2 linked regions of the Arabidopsis thaliana genome follow. The protein of the gene in region 2 interacts with the protein of the main gene of each other region in a pairwise test. Each region holds a gene or a part of one and is shown on either strand. Other genes may lie near its edges.

Region 1 (8,902 bases), about 15 Mb from region 2:
AGCATTCATAACAAAAGATGCGTGCGTCCTCAAACTGCTCGGGTTAAAGCACGAACCACCAGCTTGGATCGGTTTACAGTCAACACCCTGACCACACACCCAATTAATACTGTCTTGCAGCTGAGTATTCGTCGCCCCGGACCTCGCTACACACCATTTACCGCCGGCAGTACTAGGTGCGGGCAATGCTGGGCGGCCTCCACCGCCTTGTCCGTTTCGGAGAAGACCAACATCGTAAACCGGGGAGAAATCTGCTCGGAAAAGTCCCCAGTTACGCTCTGCGGTCGGACCGGGTTTGCCTTCTTCGTTGAAGAGACCGAAAATGTATGTCTCGAACCGTCTGTTAGGCATGAGAGGTGTCCCTTGGCCTTGTGCACGTTTGATAATGTTGAGGTTGAACCAAGCAGCATTCGCAGGCGAGCACCAAGGTGCGTCACAAGCAGATGGCCAGCCAGTCTCGCCAACGACAATGTTAACATCACCGTATCCAAGAGCTTTCATGGCTGAGTATGTCGAGTCCATGAGTGCATCAAACATGTTGGTGTAGACGTGGCGGGTGAACGGGTCACGGACTGCCTTGTACGGTGTTCGGAAAATTGCGAAGTTGACGTTTTTGGGGTCAAAACCAAAGTAAGGGTACGGGTTAACCATGAAAGGTGACTTGGTTCGGCGATGGTAAGCTAGGATTGGAGCCAATATGCCTTTGTCCCAACCCGGCCTGAATCTACCGCTGCTTGGTGCACCGGTCAGGTCATAGGCTATGATGTTAAGTGAGTGTGCGGTTGTAACCTGAGATCAATTGCAACAAATAGTAGTATTAGAATCAATTGTTACCTACCAATCTCCAACAATTTTCATATGATAATCATGTTGGTCTAAATTTCCTATGAAATTGGTACATTATCTCATTTACCTAGGATCACATATATCATGATGTAATAAAGGAAACATAAGGCATGGCAGACAGATGAACGAATCTAAGGACAATAGGATAACCTTGGACGGTGATGAGATAAGCACGTGGGATAGTCTAAATGGTCAGATCTTAATCCAATCGCTAACATTTTCAAGTTTCAAATCTTTGAATTTTGCTTTGGGAATTTATTTTTTTCCTCTTTTTAAGAAACTAACAATATACAAGTTGGATGAAAAAAAGAAAGAAGCAAACGCAACATTCTACGTTTGCGTGAAATTTTGGATTTCAAGTTAGATAACAGACGAAAAAATAGAGATTGAATCTAATTTTTCAAAATAATCAATTTTTGTTTTGCATATTTTTTTCAACGTTGTTTTTCAACTTTATACATATGCGCAATCAATGCATTATCTCTGATATAAAAAAGGGAAAGAAAAAAAAACAGTGCATTTTTCACGCCAATCATCAATTCACTATTAATAATTACAATTTCTTTTAGTTAAAGAAAATTAAAACTAGGTAAAAAAGTTAAGTAAACAAAAAAAAAAAAAACTTTCCCACTAGCAAATATCAAATTCAAAGTTGAGATTTCAAAATTTTTTATCTGAAATTTATACAATAATGAACATCAAACTTAACTTTAATTTTATTTACCAAAACCAAACAAATATTCTACTTATTCCTTAAAATAGAAAAATCTGAAAAATAGAGAGAAAGCTGACCTTAACATCTCTGACACCAGCACGAACCAAAGCGTTGTTAAGATTCCTCATCGCCGGTAAGAGATTATTGATCATGTTATTATCTCCGGTGAGCAGAATCTCATTTCCGACTGAGATATACTTAATCTTCGTCTGAGGATGAAACGGCAAAATGTTAACCGAAACCCACCGACGAGCTTGTCTTCCGTTAGCCAACGCCGGAATATCACCGTTAGGAACGGTGACAACGACGGAGATACCAGTTCCAGCGAAGGCACGTAGGATATCGGGATTCACATCGAAGATCTTGACGCTATCAATCGAAGTTTGTGTCTTGATAAAGTTAGCCACCTGAGTCGGTGGTGGGAGGTTTCCGAGAGTTCCGTAGTTAACACCGATGGCGGAGATCACGGCGGGGATGGTGAGGAATACGGCGGCGCAGAGGAGGAGGAGAAGAGAGATTGACGGTGGCGCTTTGGCCATCTTTTTATATTTCGGAAATGAGAAAACCAAACGATTCCAAGTGAAACCCGTGAATCGTTTGAGTTGTGTTTTTATTATTACGACGAATAGATTTTTTTATTCTTATCGAGAAAGTATTTATAATAAAAATTAATAGATATGACCGTTTTGTATAGCGTATACGTGTGTATATTTTTAGTGAGGAACAGCTGGATTTTGTGGAAAGCAAAATAAAAGAAGAAGTTTGTGTTGTCTTTGTTTTTCATGTGCGTCGGCTTAAATTTAGGCCGTTGTAAATTATTGAAAAAGTGGATTTTGTTGTGACCGTGGAAACTTTAGTTAATTAATTTGGCTAATTATAGAGTCTGCTTTTGTTTGGATAATCAATTTGTCATCTTTTTCTTTAATGGTTTTTGGCTGGTAAATACTCATACTATCCAAGTTTAATCTAAAAATATACCTCTTTCTTGTTAATCGTAATTTTACAATCCTAATTTTATCCAGATACGGATGAACTATATTTGAAAAAAAGGAACTAAAGTGAAGTTAAGAAAACAAAAGAGAGATCGAGTGTTGTTTTTTCTTGGATACGTTTATTAAAAGATGTTCTTAATGAGGTCAAAGGAGACTATCTGAGTTTTTACTGCTAAACTTAAAACTAAAAAAAAAATCGATTAGTAATATTGATGTATCAACGAAATGTATATGGTTAAATATTAAGTGAAAAGAAAAAGAAGAGAGATCGACGCGGTTTGGGATAATGCCATTGGCCCATTGGACACGTGTTTGTAGGAGGAATAGTTTGGAGTTTGAACACTACGGACCAAAGTCAAAGAGATTCGAAGTATGAAGATGTTGTTGAGGAAGCTGATTCGAAGTAACTTTTACCGACACGCTTTAGCCATTTGTTATGCTTTCTTTGGGAAAAGAAGATCCGCGTCCATGTCTCATTGTTAACAGTTTATTGTCATTTTCAATGACATGGTTACACTCATTGCACACACACACAAACCACGTAATTTTGTATTTTTTTAATTAAATCCCATCCTTATTTTTTGCAATAACAAATTACCATTGTTACTTTTTAATGATATCACATAAAATAATCGATGCCACTCGATAGCCCTTTAGACTAACAATATGTTTGTTGAAGTATGCCACAATGTTTGAAGTGAGCCGGCTCAATGCTCTCATGGTGGTTTAGTAGTTTAACTTGAGAACTTACAACAGTTTTCTCCTTCTCCACACTATTTGTATCCAAGAAGGGGCATTACAATATAGAATTGCATAATACGATTTAAACTTTTACCAAAAAAAAAAAAGAAAAAAAAAGAAAGAATTGCGTAATACAGAATTTATCTTTAAGGGAATACAAATATAATTTGGTTTCAGAATCATCTCAATAGGCTTTCCTTTAACCAAACTTGGGTTTTATTGATGTGCTTGCTTTAATGGGCCTAAAGCCCATACAACAGCATCACTATCCACGCCGTTGTCTATTCTTATTATTCACCCCACCCGGTACACCGACCAAACCTTGGCCAACACGTCCATAATATTTCATCCTCCCTCCTAATTTACTTTAATATCCTCAACTTTCCTAATCGTTCAGGGAATATTCTCATATACCCTAGACATATGCGTCTTTTCCAATCTAAAATGTTGAGAGTATATTTTTATTTATATATATATGAGTGACCCCTGCGAGAGACAACGGCCACTGAACACTATCGATCTAATCTTTTCAGCTCTCTCCATCGTCGTCGTATCTGTGACTCTCGTGATCATCGCCTGAAAAAAATTTGAGATAATGGCCAGAAAGTTCTTCGTCGGAGGCAACTGGAAATGTGTAAGTGATCTTTACCTTCTATTGCGCACCTTATTATTAGTCTTGTCACTTGATCCTTCCCCGATCAAGTCAAAGAGATCGGAAAATCCCGATCTTAAGATCTAAGGTTTTTTTCATTATTTGTAGCGGTGGAATTTGAATTGTAATGCATATGGTTCAGATTTGTCGATTCTATGCCGGATCTTAGTTGTTTTTTTTTGTCAAAATTTTGAGTAGGAATTTTTCTTCAATTGATATCTCGTGTTCTAGCTTTGGTGGATCCGTGTGTTAATTTTGTTGGTTAAACTATTTTAACATGTTAATATTTGAATTTGTAATCTTATATAGAACGGAACTGCTGAGGAGGTGAAGAAGATTGTGAACACTCTTAATGAAGCTCAGGTTCCTTCACAGGATGTTGTAGGTATGTGTAGCATCTCAATTGCTTTGACGACATTATGGCTTTTTTTTTAATTTCCATGTCTATGAAATCTTAAGTAGTGACAAATATTTTGGGCATACAATTACAAACCTGTTTCAATGTACATCGATGTTCTATAGTGTTTATGCTTCTTAGGAACCATGGATAGATCTAGTGTTTGTTGTTAGTTAAAATGTTCTTTATCATATACTTGTTATGGTTCTATCTTTGTTGATAGTTATAAGTATGTTTGTTCTTGTATTAATAATTTGATGAAATTTTACTAAATGCAGAGGTTGTGGTTAGCCCTCCATATGTTTTTCTTCCCCTGGTTAAGAGCACATTGAGGTCTGACTTTTTTGTTGCGGCACAAAACTGTTGGGTTAAGAAAGGAGGTGCTTTCACTGGTGAAGTGAGGTGAGATTCTAACCATTGGTGTATACTTTAAGCTGTTTTACCATTATTGCTTCATGCAGTAAATATTTATGGTTTTGAAAATGAATATGATTGTGTTTATAAACGAATCGATTTTTCCATCTGTTCTTCTTCTTTATCTTCTTTCCTATAAGAATTGTGTAACCTAAGTGATTAAGAAAACAACTAGTAGTTGGTAGTAAGACCATGATTGGATTCGTGCCTGGTTAGACAAGTAGGTGTAATATGATTTACCTGTCTATGGAATGCTTTCATAGGAAGAAAAGATATATTCTGTGGTGCCTGTATTTCCTGCTCTTATGCATTGTGTAATTTGTGTGTTTTAGTGCGGAGATGCTTGTGAACTTGGATATTCCATGGGTTATCCTTGGTCACTCTGAAAGGAGGGCAATCCTTAATGAATCAAGCGAGGTTGGTGACTTTACATGATAAAATAATTTTCTGGAGACTCAAATAGCTTTTAAATTCATGATTTTGGTTTTTGACCTCTATCCTACATTTGTAGTTCGTCGGAGACAAGGTTGCCTATGCACTTGCTCAAGGTTTGAAAGTGATTGCTTGTGTTGGTGAGACTCTTGAGGAGCGGGAAGCTGGATCGACCATGGATGTTGTGGCTGCCCAGACCAAGGCTATTGCCGGTATGTATATTGTCAAACATTTAATCTCTTTTTGCTATCTCAGTTCGTTCTCGTTTACAGTGAGACCTGTTTTGATGATAGTGATGCCCGTTTCTACGCACTATACTCCCTTAGTGTGTGATTCAAACCCCACAGAAATATTTGTTGGCTAAAAAACTCTTTTTGTTGGTAATGGCAGATCGGGTGACAAACTGGTCAAATGTTGTCATAGCCTATGAACCAGTGTGGGCCATTGGAACCGGAAAGGTCGCTAGCCCAGCCCAAGCTCAAGAAGTAAGTGGTTCTCGATGCGCAGTTGCACTGTAACGTGTTGCATATGGTCATGATTTAATAGGAAAACCAATGCTGTTTTCCTTACGAGAGCTTGTTTCGTTTATGAACAGGTACACGATGAGCTGAGGAAATGGCTGGCCAAGAACGTGAGTGCTGATGTCGCTGCTACAACCCGCATCATTTATGGAGGTAGATAGATGATAACACGATCTTTAATTAAACACCCCTATATAGTTTTCTATGTTACTTAGCTTGATTATGCAAATTATTATCAGGATCCGTCAATGGTGGTAACTGCAAGGAGCTAGGTGGACAGGCCGATGTTGATGGTTTCTTGGTCGGTGGTGCTTCTCTAAAGGTACATATAATATGGTTTCTCTTGTAATGATATCTTTCGTTTGTCTCTTTCAAAACCATGACTAATGTTTTCATTCTTGGTCTTTTTGCAGCCTGAGTTTATCGACATCATTAAGGCCGCAGAGGTGAAGAAAAGTGCCTAATGAGCTCATTAAGCAATTTAAAAGTCCTTTGCTTTTCCAGTCGCAACTCTGAAAAAATGAATAAGTTGGTATTATGATATGATACATTTTGCTTCAGTTGTATTTGGCAAAAGTTTCTCTCTTACTATATTGTTTTGAGAACGCAACAATCATTTTCTTCGCCATTTATTTAGCTGTGGACTTGCAATTTGCAAATCCCTTCCTTTTACAGTCTTCTCAACTCTTCAGAGAATCTGTGTTTGGAGTTCATAACCCCTCGGGCCTTTTGATCAAACCCCTATTTCTAATGTCGTCCGATCATAAACCTGTGTGTTATATAATATGTTGTTTGTTCCATTTTAGACTTTGGTATTTTGTCATGCTTGATCTCTGAATCATGCTGTCAACCACTTTGAAAATGGCTTTACTTGTTAAATAAATGACGAGAGAATACAGGAGAAGTGGGAAATGACTTTATTTTTTCCCTTTTATCGCTTTTTGCCTATTGGTCTGTCATTTTTGACATTTTAGCTTTTAGAACATTATTATTTTCAACTTTATTGTCATCATCTTGAAAAATGTCCAACATTACGAAATTATTATGTAGAGAGTAAAAAAGGAAAAGAAATTTCATGGAGAAACTCATTGTATTAGGAATGTCAATGTTTGTAGAAAACAAAATGCTTATGTAATTTGAGTAAAACGGCTCAGTGGAACTAAAGTGATAATGTAAAAGAGACGGTTAAGTCCAAAATAAGAGCTCCCGTATGTCAGAATTGTTCAAACCATTTATTAAAAAATTGGACTCAGTATGATGAAAATGTGTATGGATTTTGATCCGACCACGAAAATCCAACTAGTGCCAATAAAAACTCCACAATATGTGACTCAGCTACAAATGTGATAACGTATTATCTCCCAAGTCAACCCACATTTCTGGTGACTTATATTTTATTTATTTCTGAGTAATATTTAAGAAAGTAGGGATTGAATTTTTATGAGTATTATATTATATAGTTGACCTTGGACTTATTTGCGTAACGAGCAAACAATTGTGACCTTAGAAATGGAGGTTTGACTAAGTCATCGATCATTTCAGCAATAGAGTAATTTTGGGTCCGTATGACTCAAAACAAGTTTTGGTAAAAAATTTCTCTGTTTTAAAAACTTGTATTTATAAAACTTATGTCCCATCCCATGATACTAAATTTAATTACATTATACGTATGTAGTCAAGCATAATTTTTTCCTGAAAAATCTTATTTTTCTTACCTACTTGTAAACTTTAATTTAATTCCTGGTTAAGTAGATATTTTTCTTAGTTCTTACAAATCTTATATTTTCTTACCTACTTTTATAAACATTTTTGAGACCACTATTACTAAACCCGAATCTGTTTCATCATTCCACACCCAAAGCATATAAATCGAAAATATCTATGATCACATGAATATCTATCATTTTCGACAAAATTTGTCCTTTTTTTTCTTTCTTTTTGTATCCAACCCCACCACGGCGAATTTATTTCAGGCCTATTAAAGATTCCAAAATCTCATGACCATCTGACTCAGATGTCATATCTATTAAAAACGTTATTTTGAATCTTAAACATATATCATTAGTGATCTTTTTGCACGTTTACTCAGATGCTTAAGATCATCAAAATCAATCTATGAATTTCAAAAGTTTTAAAAATCATACAATAGAAAAGTCCCACTGATCATTAAATTGTTATTACTAATTTTATTTAGAACTCGTTTATTATCTTTTGGTCAAAAATATAACTTTTGTCTGAATTCGTTTTTTTTTTGTTTGGACAAGAAAAAGACCTTTCTTCTTCCTTCGGTTGCCTCTACCATCTCATCAACACACATCTTCTCTTTCTCTTCTCTCATCCTCTCTCTTCTTCAGTGTTTACTTTTTCTCTTTCTCTTTTTTTTTTCTCTTTATTATTTCGCTTTAATGAGTTTTATCTGATAGAATCTGCTCCACCCAAAAACAGCATAAGAAGAAATTCATTGTCAGAGAAAAGTGCAAAAAAAAAAAACGATCTTCTTCATCATTCTACTAAATGGGTTCTTGTCTCAGTTCTCGTGTCCTTAGTACGTTCTCTACAATTCTCCATCTCCCATTTTTTTTTTTTTTTTTTTGTGATTCACACATGTGTATCTCTTCAAATCCGTGATCTTTTTGGTTAATCGATAATGGCTTTTAAGAAAAGGAATGAAATTTGCAAGAATCTTCTTCCTGTGATCTAACTGAATAAAGTTTTCCCCTTTTTTGGCGTTCTCTCAATTTTGACTGTGGTCAACGCTTTTGTGTGTTGTGCAGATAAGAGCAGTAGTGGTCTCGATGATCTTCATCTCTCGAGCTGTAAATCTTCATCATCAGCTACAGCTCATAAGACAGAAGGAGAAATCCTTAGCTCAACGACCGTCAAAAGCTTTAGCTTTAATGAACTTAAACTCGCTACTAGAAACTTCAGATCGGACTCTGTTGTTGGAGAAGGTGGCTTTGGTTGTGTCTTTAGAGGTTGGCTTGATGAGACTACTCTTACTCCTACCAAATCTAGCTCTGGTCTTGTTATTGCTGTTAAACGACTTAACCCTGATGGTTTTCAAGGTCACCGAGAATGGCTGGTACAACACTTGTTTCTTATCTTTGATTTATAACACTCTTTTGTTTTTGTGTGTGTAGGTTCTGATATTGATCTTTTTTTTTGTGGTTTCAGACAGAGATTAACTATTTG
Region 2 (9,272 bases):
GATAAAGAGATGCAGGACTCGAGCGCTTTTGCTGCACGGAAGCTTCGCCTAATGGTAAGCAACCAAATATCTCCTAGAAGAGCCAATCCAGCTTAATGTTTATCATTATCTGCCTAGATAGCTATGCTATTTTCATATTCTGATGAAACTAGTGCTTAAATGTTAGCCAATGAAATACATTTTCAGATGTCTGGCTCCTCTGCTCTCCCTCGACCTGTCATGCATCAATGGGAAAGTATCACAGGTCATCGTCTTTTGGAAAGATATGGCATGACTGAGGTAAGTAGATTTTCCTGTCTCTTTGAGTTACCATAATCAATACCTTAGAACAAGCTTAACACAAGCTTGTTCTTAGTAGTTACATCTACTGAATTAAAAAAAAATCTTCAATATTCCCAGTTTGTAATGGCAATGTCAAACCCCTTACGGGGTGCACGAAATGCAGGTACTGTCGGCAAACCGCTTCCTGGTGTGGAGGTCAGTGACATCTTCTTTCTCTTTCGTCCTCACTCAATACCTTTTAACTAATGCTACACAGATTAAGTACTAGTAATACTGTGACATGAAGTTATGATACTGAAAAAGTGTAAACATGATAGGCTAAAATAAAAGAAGATGAAAATGACGCAAATGGAGTGGGTGAGATATGTGTTAAAAGCCCATCTTTGTTCAAGGAGTACTGGAATCTTCCAGAGGTGACTAAAGAATCATTTACGGAAGATGGATACTTCAAGACGGGAGATGCTGGAAGAGTGGATGAGGATGGATATTACGTGATTCTAGGACGTAAGCAGAACCTATAAGTACATTCAAACACAATTTAAAAGTACTTTGTGTTCCTTCATTTAACATCTTATCTTATCTTCTCTGGTGTCGATCAGGTAATAGCGCTGACATTATGAAGGTTGGAGGATACAAGTTATCTGCCTTAGAAATCGAATCAACCCTTCTCGAGGTAACATTAACATCCATTTGAGTTTTTTTTTGGCTCTGTGAAGCTATCAGAAGCTTTTATCTCCTTGGGAAATAGGCTTTAGATAACTGAACCGAGAGAACTTAATCGTTGTATGATATCTCTGGGGGATGTGTTATGCAGCACCCTACTGTTGCAGAATGTTGCGTGTTGGGGTTAACAGACAACGACTATGGAGAAGCCGTGACTGCGATAATTATAGCAGAGAGTGCAGCAAAGAAGAGAAGAGAGGATGAGTCAAAACCTGTAATAACCTTAGAAGAACTGTGCGGTTGGGCTAAAGACAAGCTTGCTCCTTACAAGGTACTAAAAATCTGCCAAAGTGTTGTCAAAACGCGCAACAGTCTTGTCAATCTTTTTTTCTTTTTTTTTCTTGTCCATAATATTCTGTCTTTTCAGCTACCAACAAGATTGCTGATATGGGAGAGCTTGCCTCGCAACGCCATGGGAAAGGTAGCTATATTTCTCTCAAATTTTTTCTTTTTTCTTGAATGATATCAGAGATAGTTGTTTTGTTGTAACCAATAAGAATCATTCTCAGTGTATGAGTATTTTTTTCGAGTTGCAGGTGAACAAAAAAGAGCTAAAGAAATCTCTGGAAAATCAAGAATAAAGACAACCATGGATTTCATTGCTACTCCTTGTTCTTTTGATTATATGACACGTATGCATAAAATGTAATTTCCTTCTTTCCTGTATCATGTACTTTGACTCAATAATGTCAAGAATCAATACCAAATTAACTATTTGAGAAGTAAATCTTTGTTATATACTATTTCTTTGTTTAGTGTGAAGAACAACAAAATTGTATAGTGTGAAAGAAGGAAAGTTGACCATAGTCTTTGACTCTTTGATGCTAAATCAGTAATCATTCCAAAAGGGTATAATGGTAATTAACTATGATGATCCGATAACCATATATTCCCACACGCAAGTTTGTTTTGTAACGAGAACGTAAAAAGACGAAGAAGAAGGGACAGTATGGTAGATCCAACGATCCATAACACGACGACGTATCTCGAAGAGATAGCAAAAGGAAACGGGCAAACCGAGTTCGAGATTTTAATCTTGAAAGGCTTAGAACTCATCCATGTCGGGAAAGGGATCTTACGTTGTAAATTACTTGTCACAGATCATGTCGTGGTAATAAAATTTACTTAATCCAACGAATCTAGTTTTAAGCTTCCTTTTTTGTGTTTTTGATTGGTGAACGTTATTATTACTAAACAATGCGAAAGATGATTCTCAGGGAGAAGATGGAAGTTGGAATGCGGGAGTGATTACGGCGGTGATGGACTCGATCGGAGCGTCAGCTGTGTACTCCTCCGGCGGCGGACTCCATATCTCTGTTGATCTCAACTCTTCGTTTTATTCAACGGCCAAGATTCACGTTCGCTTTCCCTATCCTCATTTTTCTCTCGTTTTTTTTGTTATGAAACATGCAAACTACTAAATTAGGTAAATTACTATTATTAGTAATGATTAGAAGTAATAATGATAAGAAAAAACTACAAAATTGCAGGAAACGGTAGAGATAGAAGCAAGAGTGAATGGAAGCAATGGAGGATTAAAATCAGCTGTGATTGAGATTAGAAGAGAAACAAGTGGAGAAATTATAGCCACAGGAAGATTGTGGATGGCTCCACTTAGCGTCAAAGCCATACAAAATGTTTCTACTCTTAGTAAGCTTTGATTTTTTCTTAATTTAAGTGATTCAATTTCCCAAAGTCAAAAACACCACAAATCACCATTTTGAAAATTTGATTCTCTTCAATCAAATATCATACACACAATGTTTTTTTTTTTTTTGTAATAATTAAATAAACACACGACCCATTAATTAACATCAACCTCTACATCCTAAGAAAATCCAAATCCATGATATAATAATCTAATTACATACAAATATATAGAATTTTATAACACACGTACACCATTTAATTATGATCAACCAATTGGTCTTAGTTTAATTTAATAACTTCCTCTTCTTCTTTTCTCATACCATTAACCTTATCATTCCTCACCTGATCCACCGTAGGACCATAGGACCAGCTACACACAACGTAGTAGATGACATTAACGAAGCTCAAGATCGCTAAAACCCAATAGTAATAGTCATAGTGACCCTTGTTGATGTTATCTTCAATCCAGCTCACATTGCCCTGCTTTGAGCTATTCTTTACCGCATTTAGGATCACACTAGCCAAGATATTAGCCACTGCCATTCCTAGACCGAACAACGAAGCTGCGATACTCGACATGCTTTTAGGAAACTCGGTATAGAAAAACTCGGTCTGTCCTATCCCGGTCAAGGCCTCTGCTAAACCGTGTAGTACATACTGTGGTACAAGCCACATTGCTGAGATGCTCACTGTTGAGTTGGCATCGTTTGCGAGTCCTTGGCTTATCGCGGTTTTCCTTCTGTAATGTTCAACAGTTGCGGAAACCGCCATTGCTAAGAATGATATGAATAGCCCTAATCCCATTCGAATCTTGACATTGACTCTAACTGGTCTGCCTCGGATCTTTGAAGCTAAAGGGAGAATTGCGCGGTCGTACAGAACAACCCATGAGATTAAGGCTATGATTGTGAACATACCAAACGATCCAGCTGGGATTTGGAAGGTCGAATTGCTGCTTAAACGTCTGTCCATTGATTTAGCTTGAAGCAACTGAAAAGAGTTCTGGCTAACGTTTATCGACATCATTATCCCCGTGGACCATACCGGTATCACCTTGACCAACGCCTTGAGTTTCTCAACTTGGTCCGTTGTGCATAGCCTCCACTGGTTTAAGGCCAAACCATCAGAACCAAGGTCTTCATCGCGGTTACTTATGGCACAAGCTTTGTTTAAAAACCTAAGCAATTGCAAGAAAGTATCAATAAATAAAAAAACTAACCAAGAACTATATATGTGAAACTGATTTCACTTTACCTCAATTTGTCACTTGGAGCTTTGAGTTCAGAATCTTTCAAACGGTAATAACAATCTCTGGAGTCATGATGATCCGGCAAAGTTAAGTTTCTCTTCACGTAAGCTGCAGCAACCACTTGAGCTAAACCAGTGAACAGACTCTTGCTCACATCGCGCTTAACGTAGAGAGGAGACGCGAAAACAAACAAGAAACCCGCGAGCAGCATGAGAATCGCGGGTATTCCAAACCCGATTTTCCATCCTAGATGATCTTGAATGTAAACAATGACGGTGAAAGCGATCAAGACAGCAACTGATGAAGAAGCGTAGTACCAACCAAAGAAACTCTCAAGAACTCTCTCGTTCTTAGGATTCTCTTTGTTGTCCAATTGATCAGCACCAAAGGCTAAAGAACATGGCCTGATTCCTCCTGATCCAATCGATATTAATGCGAATGCGGTATACAAGAGAGCCAATTGAGAAGATGTCGCGGAACTGCAGTTGGTTCCGGCTGTTGCTACACACGGTGATGGTTTTACTTGCGGCAACATCGCCGTTAGCCATAGAACCACCATCCCCTGTAACATTTTTGATTCAGACAAATTTATTAAAACAATGTAGTAGGTTAGATTTTGACGTTTTTGTTTTTCATAATAAAAATGTAGTTATCACTTCATTCGTAAAATCTGTAGATGTCTTCCAAAAAAAGTACTTCCAAGAACAAGAATCCAAGTATTAGATCAGAATCTACACGTACGTCAATTGTCACATCCATCATACGAAAACATTATTTTCTTACGGAAAATGATTGATACTCGAGATGAATGATTGATGTAGAGATTTCAAAATCAATTGATGTCACTATGTATATGATAAGTTTTTTTTTCCAAGTGGGTGAAATAATAAGTTTGATCAAGAATGGGACAAGTAGTACAAAAACATGGGTCACCAATCGATATTGCTTTCATGTCTAACACTTATATGTTGGCCAAAAAACTAATGTCAAATCCTTAAATGGTGGCAAAATGTAGGTCCACGTCAGCTTGACCCATATATTTGGACATATAAATAATGAAACTCTAAGTCTACATACAACAAAAAGTAATAACAAAATGATATTTTTTATACATAGAGAGATGCAAGCAGTGTGGTCACTCACAATCACACAAGTTGCCAGAGAAAGCCCACAAGACCATAACCACAAGGAAAGCAACAAACAAGATTTTAAGGAATTAATAATGATATTAAATACTTTATGATTATTTAAGACCTGTTATTATATAAACTCACATGGACATTTCAGAACACCTGGCTTCGAATTTAATTTTACCGACTTTTATATTTTTGATGGACACAAATATTAAAAACAAATCAAAGCGGGTTTAGTTTCTCCATTCATTGGACAGCAATTTCAGGGAAGCACATGCAACATGTGAAAATTTTGACTCTTAATGGAAAAAGGCTTCTAAAAAGCTTAATCATATCAACTCTTAAATTAGAAATTTCACTGTAGATGATTATCATTAGATATTATAGTACTTAAAGCAGAAATATACAGCTATCAATGATTTAGCAAAACCAACGGTAAAAAGTTATAAAATTTTAGTAAAAACCCCTGAAATTTACCATACCAATCTTTTTTTTACTATTTCGAGAATATAAAATAATTAAATAATTACATACAAAACCTCGTACCATTTAATTCTTGGCCCTTAATTCTATGACTTGGTTAGATTTTATGGAATTCTCTTTTTGTTGTCGACGCAAGTAAAGTCAAGTCCAATTATCGAAAACTATCAAACCGGAATTTAACTCCAATTATCAATGCATGTAAGTAAGGTCCAATTGTCTAAAGCCAAGTAATAAAACACTGAATACAAGCACGATATTTCACCCAAATCAACTTAAACCGAAACTTTCGGTTTAGATTCCCAATTTTAATAAAACTCAACCTTTACTGACAGTAAACATAAACAAAGCATTTCCAAACCAAAGGCTAACTAGGTGGTGAAAAATGTTGAGTCAAAGAAGTGGCTAAAAAATTGAACCGGAGTAAACCGGGAGAAAGAAGAAGCGTAAACCGGTTAAATAGGGGACGGAAATTACCAGGAGACTGGAGAGAGAAGCAATGACAATGGTGAGAAAGCGACCCAAATATGAATCTGAGAGAAAAGCTCCAACGAGAGGCATGAAATTAGTAGCAGCAACCCACATGAACAAGACAGTTTGTCCTTTAACAAGTCCCAATCTGTAATCACTCATCAGATAAAGAATCATGTTCTGTAATAATCCATAGCTCGCCACTTTCTCGAACCCCTCGTTTGCTTCACCGAGTAACAAACAAGATGAGATAAAATTAGTAACAAGATTTGGGTTTTTGTCTAAAAAAGTGAGAGAGATCGTTTGTTACCAATGATGAAGGGCATAGTGAGAAGACCACCCTTTGTTCTTCTTCTTGTAATGGGTTGTTGAAGAGTCTCCTTTGACTCTGTTTGATCCGGAGGGTTCTCCATTGTTGTTACCTTTCAAGCTTCGAGAGAGGGGAAGAGAGAAAAGTGAAAAAGAGAAGAGAAGGAGGAGAAGATCTTTGTCTTTGTGAGAGTTTTGAGTTAATGCGATCTTATTTTTCAGTTCAGACAGCGAGGAATCTCTGTTTTCTGCGACGAGTGAGCAATAATAAATGGCTGTTATTTAAATACTACATTTTCTTTTTCCCTCAAGGCAAATTGTTTTTTAATTTTTTAATTTTATTAATTAATTTATCATAATGATTTTTATAGAGTGAGGTTTTATCCTATATGGCACACGACAATTTTCATTCTTAGTTAGAACTTAGAAATGATTTGTTAGTAGTATGAAAGAAAAAAAGTTAGATAAAACGTCATTTTCCTAATCTTAGCTAAATACAAGTTGAAACATAAATGCCAGAAATATTCGTTTTTTTGTGAAGAAAATATCTAAAATGGAGAAGATTAACTTACATAGATATTTCAAAAAGAAGAGAAAAGAAAAAAACAGTACATTGTACATCAAACTTCCAATGTTCCATCATCCATGTTACTTACGTCAAACATAAAATGGTCTGGTGTTATTGACTTATTTTTGAAATAAATCCAATTTATTATTATTTATGTACATTTCAAATTAGTTAAATATGTTAATGTTATATACTTCGAAACCATAACTATTCTATAGATTTTTTGATGAAATAGTTGTTGGAAGTGAATTTGCAATGTAGAAGAATCAATCACAAGAATTTCAATATTGTATTATCTTCTAAAGATGTCTTCTAATCAGACTTAAACTCTTAAAAAGTTTATGAGAGCTTCAACTATATCATTATACTGTAACTAAACATGTAAATGGCTTTCCACAAATCACATCCAATTATCGAAAGGAACGGATCAAAAATCATAACAAAAGTTTACTAATAATTGAGAATGGAAAACATCCCATGAGGTTAACAGCTTTTGTTTTGGCTCTCTCTCTTCCTCTTTTCTTGACAAATTGAAACTTTTTGTTATTCAATTCTTTTTTTTCAGTTTAAAGTTAAAAAATGGATTCATTAAAGTAAGTGCAATCATATATAAAGTTTTTTTTAATTCGCTTTCTCCTTATCACACTAATAAGTCAACATCTCAAAGAGTCGGCCCAAAGAATATAATAAAATAATAGCATACGAAAGTTTACCAAACCCATGTAACAATTGACCTCATGAATAATAGTTTATGTTTTAACAAAAATATGAATAATAGTATATGTTTAACTGTATAATTTTCTATGTATCTAAGAAGTTTCGGACTTTACGATGTATAGTAACTTCGACCAAGAGATTAAATTAGTAGTTTTCCCTGCTAATGTCGACTTTAAGACGAACCCCATCTTATAAAGTTACTCGTATCTAATCGGTTAAACTATCCATTCCAAATTAACAATTATATTTTCTTATGTGACTTAATCCAAATAATGAATGCAAAGAAAACTAACATTCATTATTCACAAAACATTATATATTGCTAAACAATATCATACTGTTAGATTCTGAGGATATAAACTACTGTATCAAAATACTTATCACTAATTTGTGATTCTATATCCTACAGGCTATATATCATTATACGCTAAGTAATTACGTTTCCAAGTTAAATGATACAAGTATTTGAAAGTTTCTGCCTAAACCAGATTATAAGTAAAGTACTTATGTTCAGTACAAAATTAAAAATGGTGCAACCAGATTTGAATGAAAAAGTTCGTACAAAATTAAGTGCGGTGTCTGATGATGGCAGAAGACTCGCTAGTAGGAACCAAAAATGAAATTTCATTATCCAAAAATTTATTTGTGGTCTTTCATGCATCCACATGAACAGTTTCAATACCAAATACCTAATTTAGTTTTTAAAAAAAATCGTAATTAATCAATACATCAAGAATTCAACATTAGATTATCCTGCTATTAAAAAAATCTCTTAAAATAATTTCTTAGAACATTAGAATAATTTAAAAACAAAAAGTGAATAAAAAGCCATAATGATGAGAGTGACATGGTCATTTGCCTTGCACGTGGGTGTTTGGATACTCTGCAATCTCCTTTTTGACAAACTTGTTAATCCACACTACTCATTATGTCATTTCATTTTTAATTTGTGATCATCATAACTACTTAGCCTCGTCGTAACAACTTAACCCAAGAAAATCAGAGTTAGATCCAAATAAAAGTGATGGGACACTTTAAAGAAACGAAACAAAAAAAAAAACACTGTGGATAAAGCAAAAAGCAAATGGTAACATAAATTGTTTTTACTATATACATTTCGGCGTTTGTGAAATAATACAGTCGAAAGAAATGGTCTCTAGGTTAACACTATGCATAGAATTTGGTGAGAAACATTACAGAATATATTTCATTTAAATTCGGTGTTCGATAATGTTGTGAAAGAGTGAATGTAGATTGTGGACGAAGATAATTCTGGGACACTTCCAAAAGAAGAAGACTGTAGAAAATGAATTGTCTCTGAAACATTATTATTCAAAGATTGCTTGACTTACACGCCACCTCCTCATTTTTCCTCCATTTCTTACTTCAAGAAGGAAAGGTCTATTGAGGTATGTGTCAGGTTTCAGACTTATTTTTTCTTCTCAAATTCAAAAAAAATATATTATTTTGTCAGACTCATTTTTCTCACCTACTCTACTTTCTTATTCAATGTTCTCTCTATTTTTTTTTAGCTCTGTTCCAGTCCCTTCTCCATTTACACACAAGCTAATTACCTTGTCTTCTTCTTGTTGTAATTTATTAAAAATTTAGAAGGTGGGTATTTTGTTACTTTGCTATTGAATTGGTTGTTATGGAAATTGTTGGATATTAAGGTCCAGTCTGTAAATTG

Evidence for each region. The genes of interacting proteins can lie anywhere in the genome.
Region 1: the proteins of AT3G16180 (region 2) and TPI interact in a protein complementation assay, tested with the Arabidopsis thaliana proteins (one large-scale study listed by BioGRID).

The regions. Positions count from the first base shown.
Region 1 is NC_003074.8:20,549,905-20,558,806, forward strand, and holds TPI (triosephosphate isomerase), read left to right. Parts: upstream 1-3,498; 5' UTR 3,499-3,889; coding exon 3,890-3,928; intron 3,929-4,255; coding exon 4,256-4,331; intron 4,332-4,621; coding exon 4,622-4,745; intron 4,746-5,089; coding exon 5,090-5,174; intron 5,175-5,268; coding exon 5,269-5,401; intron 5,402-5,579; coding exon 5,580-5,674; intron 5,675-5,784; coding exon 5,785-5,863; intron 5,864-5,949; coding exon 5,950-6,032; intron 6,033-6,123; coding exon 6,124-6,174; 3' UTR 6,175-6,656; downstream 6,657-8,902. Other genes in the region: AT3G55430 (O-Glycosyl hydrolases family 17 protein), read right to left, coding at 1-789, 1,639-2,100; PBL1 (PBS1-like 1), read left to right, coding at 8,225-8,303, 8,422-8,792, 8,885-8,902.
Region 2 is NC_003074.8:5,478,543-5,487,814, forward strand, and holds AT3G16180 (Major facilitator superfamily protein), read right to left. Parts: upstream 6,646-9,272; 5' UTR 6,402-6,645; coding exon 6,299-6,401; intron 6,213-6,298; coding exon 5,995-6,212; intron 5,989-5,994; exon of another isoform or gene 4,475-5,988; intron 4,467-4,474; coding exon 3,910-4,466; intron 3,833-3,909; coding exon 2,935-3,832; 3' UTR 2,783-2,934; downstream 1-2,782. Other genes in the region: AAE13 (AMP-dependent synthetase and ligase family protein), read left to right, coding at 1-54, 187-279, 400-477, 600-786, 882-955, 1,097-1,276, 1,373-1,426, 1,542-1,586; AT3G16175 (Thioesterase superfamily protein), read left to right, coding at 1,955-2,116, 2,223-2,363, 2,496-2,666. UniProt on the Arabidopsis thaliana protein: Low-affinity nitrate transporter involved in xylem-to-phloem transfer for redistributing nitrate into developing leaves. Not involved in dipeptides transport.